Linked DNA regions of Caenorhabditis elegans. The protein of the gene in region 1 interacts with the protein of each later gene in a biochemical or structural test. Each region holds a gene or a part of one and is shown in the gene's direction. Other genes may lie near its edges.

Evidence for each region.
Region 2: the proteins of unc-116 (region 1) and kca-1 form a complex in vitro, tested with the Caenorhabditis elegans proteins (one study listed by BioGRID).

What each region holds. Positions count from the first base shown.
Region 1 is NC_003281.10:8,353,566-8,357,323, reverse strand, and holds the start of unc-116 (Kinesin heavy chain), read left to right. Parts: upstream 1-2,149; 5' UTR 2,150-2,228; coding exon 2,229-2,267; intron 2,268-2,314; coding exon 2,315-2,410; intron 2,411-2,583; coding exon 2,584-2,745; intron 2,746-2,978; coding exon 2,979-3,276; intron 3,277-3,324; coding exon 3,325-3,554; intron 3,555-3,601; coding exon 3,602-3,758. Other genes in the region: Putative RNA-binding protein R05D3.8, read left to right, coding at 1-88, 158-337. UniProt on the Caenorhabditis elegans protein: Microtubule-dependent motor protein required for organelle transport. Plays a role in endosome transport. Required for the transport of mitochondria along the axon of motor neurons. Involved in the nuclear migration of hyp7 hypodermal precursor cells.
Region 2 is NC_003279.8:4,759,484-4,763,241, reverse strand, and holds kca-1 (Kinesin Cargo Adaptor), read left to right. Parts: upstream 1-1,920; 5' UTR 1,921-1,934; coding exon 1,935-2,459; intron 2,460-2,508; coding exon 2,509-2,697; intron 2,698-2,748; coding exon 2,749-3,258; 3' UTR 3,259-3,422; downstream 3,423-3,758. Other genes in the region: kin-35 (Protein kinase domain-containing protein), read left to right, coding at 1-1; viln-1 (HP domain-containing protein), read right to left, coding at 3,758-3,758.

The sequences.
Region 1 (3,758 bases):
GTTCACCCGACGTGCTGTATTGAAGGAGTCCGTTAAAATAGCGGAACATAAGATAAAAGAGCAGGAACAACAAAACCTCGTGCAACTAGTAAGTTTTATAAAGTTTAAATAAATTATCTTGTAAAACGTGTTTTAAAATATTGCATTACATTTTCAGCCTCCAAATCACACTGCTTATCTAACGCCGTCACGTCCCGTAACTTCTGTACATGCCTCATCATCTGCTTCATCAAATCACTATGATCCATCTGCAGCAGCAGGATATGCACCACTATATCATCAACCACCAGAATCAGATCCATTGTCTCAATGTGGCTATGGACCGAGAAAATGGTAGCTGTGATGATCAAACAAAACTCATATATCTCAAATTACGGTTTCACTTAATTCGAAGTTTACGAACATTGATTTTAAAAAATAAAATTGATTTATCTTCGAAGTTTCATTCTCTCGTAACTTCCTTTATTCTCTACTAGTGAGCGCAGTGAGCGAATGTTCTGTGAGTGTTTGAAGAGGCCGTCCGTTGTCCCTCTGACCGAGAATAAAACATTATACAAAATGAAGAGAACACAGGGAACCACGGATGTATCTCTGTGTCTCTTCACGATGCCAATACATTCCTTGTATCCCTTCGAATTTCTTTCTCCAACTCTTTCTACCACCCAATACTAAAGTCTTCCCTCGTCTCTTTTCCCGCCAAACGAATGAATGTTGTGAGTGTGTCTCTCCTCTCGTTTCACTCTTTTTCAATGAAGCTTTTGCACCGACCATCCTCTAGGTCCCACCACGAAAATCTACTGAACACAATACTCCCACCTGCAGTGTCTTTTCTCTCTTATCGTTCTTTTTCGCATCCGAATCGGTCTCCCCCGCCTTCCTTCACCATCTGCCGTATCGTGTCGTATTGGCCATTACTCATTGTCAATTTGATGACCATATTTGGTTTGAGTCTCCTTATTTGCCCTCGGATATCCTCATCTTGTTTAGTTTGTGTATTTATCTATGAAATTTATTTAAAACCGCATTTATCCATATGTTATTGCATAATATTGAAGCTAATATTCATTCCGAAAAGTTAAGAGACAAGTATCGTGGAGAAATGTTAGTTTTTGGATTTGCGATTTCAGTTTCACTTTGTCTTTCTTGTCACTCAGTAAACCCGTTCAGAATATACCCAGATTTAAACCAAATTAAAACCGTACAAGCCTATATTATGAAAAATTCTAATTTTGGGCAGATGTAAACCAAGATTGTCTAGATCCAAACTTAATTTGCATAGATTGCAAGTTTGAGTAGATGTAAACTGAATTTGTGTAGGTTTGTGTATTTCCAAATCGATTTTGTGTAGATCCAAACCAAATTTGTGCAGATAAATTCACAATATAGGCTTGTACGGTTTTAATTTGGTTTAAATCTGGGTATATTATGAACGGGTTTACTGAGCACTGCTGGATGGTGTTAATTTTATAGTATAAAATTTTGAAAATGTACGAGATTTTGCAAGTTGTTTTTAATTTTTAATTCTCGCGCATATACATAAAATGTCAAATATAAATAAGTAATTAAATAAGCATTGCTGAAAAAAAAAAGAAAACTGAAATTAAAAATTAATCTGACCGAAAATACGATAGGCAAACGTACGTAATTCGAAAAACCCAAGATTTCACGACAAATTGCCAACTAAAACATTTTTCCGCGCGGGAAAAACTTTTATTGTTTCCAGAAGTTTCCTGTTGTTTTGAAGCTATTATTTCAATTATAAAACATTTTCCGAACTCATTTTTCGAACAATTTAACCAAAAATGCATAAATTTGTGAAATTTGTGTGTGCCACGTTTGATCGACGCCAGTCTTTTTCTATTTCTCTATTTTCTGTGTGAAAATTTTGAATATTCAGTACAAACGTTGCAGTTTTTGTTATTTTGTTATCATTCCGTTGTCTATCCATAATCTATGAGCCTTTAGTTTATTTTTTGTCAAAGCCGCCCAATCAAACAAAACTCGCAGCTTCTGTGCATCGCGCACGAGACGAGTGATGAAATATTCCGAAATTTCGCAATGTTTTGCCGTTTCCTCCTTTCTCTATTTCTCTTGCATCTCGTCATCTTTTCTTGTTCTCTACTCAGCATATTGATTATACTTATTGCAGGCATTGTAAGGAGAAGCCGGGTAATTAATACGATAGGCGCCGTTACAAACCGCCAACTGGTGATCATTATTCTCTGAAAATGGAGCCGCGGACAGACGGAGCAGAATGCGGTGTCCAGGTATTAATTTTCCCCGCCTAGATTTTCCAATTTCATATTGTTTTCAGGTATTTTGTCGTATTCGGCCGCTCAATAAGACCGAGGAGAAGAATGCGGACCGTTTCCTGCCCAAATTCCCTTCCGAGGACAGTATATCGCTTGGGGTGAGTAATACAAAGGGGTCATAGGGAACAATTATGTCAACAGGGACGGGAAGCACGGGGGATGCAGGTGTGTCAATTCTCTCACATGACACATTCATCTGTTTGAAAAGTACACGAAAAGTGCAAAGTTGAATATATATATATATATCGATTGATTTGTTGGAATTTTTCAGGGAAAAGTATACGTGTTCGATAAAGTGTTCAAGCCGAACACCACGCAAGAGCAAGTGTACAAAGGAGCCGCTTATCACATCGTACAGGATGTATTATCCGGTTATAATGGAACAGTTTTTGCATATGGACAAACATCTTCCGGAAAAACACATACAATGGAGGTAGGAATTATGAAAACCTTGATAATTACGTAGAATGCGACAAAGACAATCAAGTTGTAATATCAACAGTGCAAATCTTTACTGATTAATGAAAAGAAAAGTTTGAGAACTAATTTTCAGCAGTTATTTCCGAAATCGAATGCCCGAAAGATTTTTGATAATTTTTACGTTTAAAATATTCGGCGCTCGATGAAATTAACAATATAATTTAATTATTTTCATATTTTTTACAGGGAGTAATCGGTGATAATGGCTTGTCGGGAATCATTCCACGTATCGTTGCTGACATCTTTAACCACATTTATAGTATGGACGAGAATCTTCAATTTCACATCAAAGTGTCCTATTATGAAATTTACAACGAGAAGATTCGAGATTTATTAGACCCCGAGAAGGTCAATTTGTCCATTCATGAAGATAAAAATCGAGTGCCATACGTGAAGGGAGCCACCGAACGGTTTGTTGGAGGACCCGATGAGGTTCTTCAGGCAATCGAAGATGGAAAATCCAACAGAATGGTTGCAGTTACGAGTGAGTAAACTTAAAATTAAACAAATTAACATGTGAACGAAATTTCAGACATGAACGAACATTCTTCTCGATCTCATTCCGTCTTCTTGATTACTGTGAAACAAGAACATCAGACAACAAAGAAACAGCTCACCGGAAAGCTTTATCTTGTTGATTTGGCTGGTTCTGAGAAAGTGAGCAAAACTGGAGCTCAAGGAACAGTTTTAGAAGAAGCCAAAAACATCAACAAGTCACTTACTGCACTCGGAATAGTTATTTCAGCATTGGCTGAAGGAACTGTGAGTTGTTTAAATTATGACCTTCTTAAAACGAATATTTATTTCAGAAATCTCATGTTCCATATCGTGATTCCAAACTGACTCGTATTCTTCAAGAATCTCTAGGAGGAAATTCCCGTACTACAGTTATTATTTGTGCTTCTCCGTCACATTTCAACGAAGCTGAAACTAAATCCACACTTTTGTTCGGAGCACGTGCGAAGA
Region 2 (3,758 bases), on another chromosome or scaffold:
ATTGGAACTAGACATTTCATTATCAATAAAGTTTTATGTGTTCTTCTGTTGTCTTATTTGTTGAGAAGACAAACTTCCATTGAAAAATTAAAGGTTCCAAAATGTAAAGGTGATGTAGTAATATTTGAGACTCTGCTCAAAAGCTTTTTATATGATCTAACAAGGCAATGTGCATAAGGGAAACATCACAAAAGTCTCCCAGAAAGATGTTATGATGTACAAAGTTCCAAATACTACTCTTTTCCTCGATCTAATTTGAATTCCGCGTGCAAATGATTTTTCAGATTCTCGGCCGTGTTCTCCTCTCGGGCAATGAACTTAAAAAAATTAAAGTTTCGGAGTTTATGCGATTCTTCGAATACTCGCATGATTATTTGTTTTTTCTGTTGAAATTTCAGAGTTTAAAACACATTTGATTTATTTCTAGAAATAAATTACTGGAAAATCAACAAAATACGGGATTAAATTTTAGCAACTTAACTGGATTTCAACTAGAAATGAAAAAATACCAAAGAAAAATGTTCTGAGCTCATGTAATTTCTTATAATTTTTTAAAACAAATTGGGAAGATTTTCGATTTTAAATCGATTTTTCATTGTCGCAAATATTGAAGGAAACTACAGTACTCTTTTAAAGACGCATGTGCCAAATTTTCCGGAGGTAAAGTCGCGCCGAGACCTGTGCAATGAAAGGCGCGTATTTTCGTATTTTCGTATTCTCATTTCACTTTTAGCCTTTTTGAATCACATTTTTCTCTTTTTTAGGATTAATTTTCGAAGCTTAAACTTAATTTTTTCGAAAATTTATTTATTCAATTTCCTTTTTCCACTTTTCCTTCCTTTTTTCCCAATTATATTTTCTCTTGCAGCCGTTCGATTCCAAATGGTTCGACAAGACGCCGGAGTGATGATCGGAGAAGATGCTCTGTCCTACTGCTCAGGGCAGAGCACTTCCGATTCATCATTTCGAACAATGAAATCGACTTCATTATCGAGCTCCTGGCATTCTATGGCATCTCCACACACTTCTGACGTACAAGGCGTCTCGTTCTTCCGGCCATTCAGCTGGTTTGTATGGCGTCAGACTGAGAAGGACTTGAAGAAGAAACAGGACAAAGAAACTGTCGATGAAATAATGAAGTGCTTCCGGAACAACGACGTCGACGGAATGGAGAAGTTTGTTGAAAAAAAGACTCGCGAGTCTGTGTCGTCAATGAAAAACGACGAGTTTTGGTGGGATGACGACGAGATTTCGTATTGGAAGCATCGAACTACTCCAGCACAAGATGAGCTTCCTGAGGATCTAATTTGAATTCCGCGTGCAAATGATTTTTCAGATTCTCGGCCGTGTTCTCCTCTCGGGCAATGAACTTAAAAAAATTAAAGTTTCGGAGTTTATGCGATTCTTCGAATACTCGCATGATTATTTGTTTTTTCTGTTGAAATTTCAGAGTTTAAAACACATTTGATTTATTTCTAGAAATAAATTACTGGAAAATCAACAAAATACGGGATTAAATTTTAGCAACTTAACTGGATTTCAACTAGAAATGAAAAAATACCAAAGAAAAATGTTCTGAGCTCATGTAATTTCTTATAATTTTTTAAAACAAATTGGGAAGATTTTCGATTTTAAATCGATTTTTCATTGTCGCAAATATTGAAGGAAACTACAGTACTCTTTTAAAGACGCATGTGCCAAATTTTCCGGAGGTAAAGTCGCGCCGAGACCTGTGCAATGAAAGGCGCGTATTTTCGTATTTTCGTATTCTCATTTCACTTTTAGCCTTTTTGAATCACATTTTTCTCTTTTTTAGGATTAATTTTCGAAGCTTAAACTTAATTTTTTCGAAAATTTATTTATTCAATTTCCTTTTTCCACTTTTCCTTCCTTTTTTCCCAATTATATTTTCTCTTGCAGCCGTTCGATTCCAAATGGTTCGACAAGACGCCGGAGTGATGATCGGAGAAGATGCTCTGTCCTACTGCTCAGGGCAGAGCACTTCCGATTCATCATTTCGAACAATGAAATCGACTTCATTATCGAGCTCCTGGCATTCTATGGCATCTCCACACACTTCTGACGTACAAGGCGTCTCGTTCTTCCGGCCATTCAGCTGGTTTGTATGGCGTCAGACTGAGAAGGACTTGAAGAAGAAACAGGACAAAGAAACTGTCGATGAAATAATGAAGTGCTTCCGGAACAACGACGTCGACGGAATGGAGAAGTTTGTTGAAAAAAAGACTCGCGAGTCTGTGTCGTCAATGAAAAACGACGAGTTTTGGTGGGATGACGACGAGATTTCGTATTGGAAGCATCGAACTACTCCAGCACAAGATGAGCTTCCTGAGGATCATAAATACACTCCACATCCATCGAAAGGATTCAAACTCCCTCCTCGTGTGTTGAAAGCAGTCCGATTCGAATTGGATAACACTCCGGAAGATCGTCAGCCACGGGTGAGAATATTTATTTTAACAACTTTATGCTAATTTTGTTGTTTTACAGCCGTTCACACCACTTTACACCAGCACGCCGAAGAATCCTGCAATCAATGAGGACGGAAGTGACGACGAGTACAGCTTGGTTCCATTGAGATATTGTGACTCCAACACAGTCGCTGTGCCAGCTGCAGTCTTCAACAACACTTCATCGATTCTACTTGATAATGCTGTAATTATGACAACGTTGAACAAGGTAAATTTCTTGAGTATATAATTTTATTGAACTAAAATCTTATTTTTTTAGAGTCGAGAGGAAACTAATGAAATTCTGTGCAAATCATTGAACAGAGATTTCTACCAGCTGGCCTATGTCGACTCGGAAGACGCTGAGCAAGACCACGGAAAGCCCGAACAATCAACTCAGAATCCCCTTTGCAACACATATGTCGTTCATTCGTCAGAGGAAATGTCATCTGAACCAAGCAGTTCGACCATCAACCTAGATCAAGCCAATGTTTCTGATGATGCGAGGAGCGCCATTCTGGGATTGGATCGTGTGGAAAATGCCATTCAGCGTGCACTTGCCAACCAGAATGGGCCAGAACAAGGACTCGCTAGGCAACTTCGAGAGCGCATCCAGAGCATCAAAAAGAGCATCGACGAGATCTGCAGCGAATGTCCGAATGGCCCGGAAATCGACACTGATCGTGTGAGCCGGGAAAGTGACCACGACGTATCCGCCGACTTCGAGGATTCGGATTGGCAGCCGCATTTGGAATCCGATGTCGGAAGTTTCGACGAATGCATGCTGTAAATAATATAAATTTATATTGATTAACTTGTAAAATACTCACCCATCCCGCTCGTCTTAAGTTTATAATTCCATGTCAAATATTATTATTCACAAGTGATCACATGTACTATAGTTTTATTGCAATATATTTTATTCTCGTCAAAAATAAAGACGATTATCACTTTAAATTTTATTTTGAAGGCGTCACTGTTGTAGGTCAGAAAGAAGCGGAAAATGGATTTGGATAAGCCGAAGTTGTACACTTACGAATGCTCCATAGCAATTTTTCCATATTTATTCACTGAATCATGCATTACATTTACTTTAAAGTTTCTTTTTTCTATTCAGATATTGCTCTTCATGCTATATTATCTGTTTAGTATGTAGTAATCGAAATCCAGTTAAACATTACACGCTTTTATTTATCAGGCAATCTATACAGGAGATAAAATGGCAAGGTGATAATACAGTAATGACGGTTTCACCGCCTCTAGTGAGTCAATATAAATAAAAAATATGTT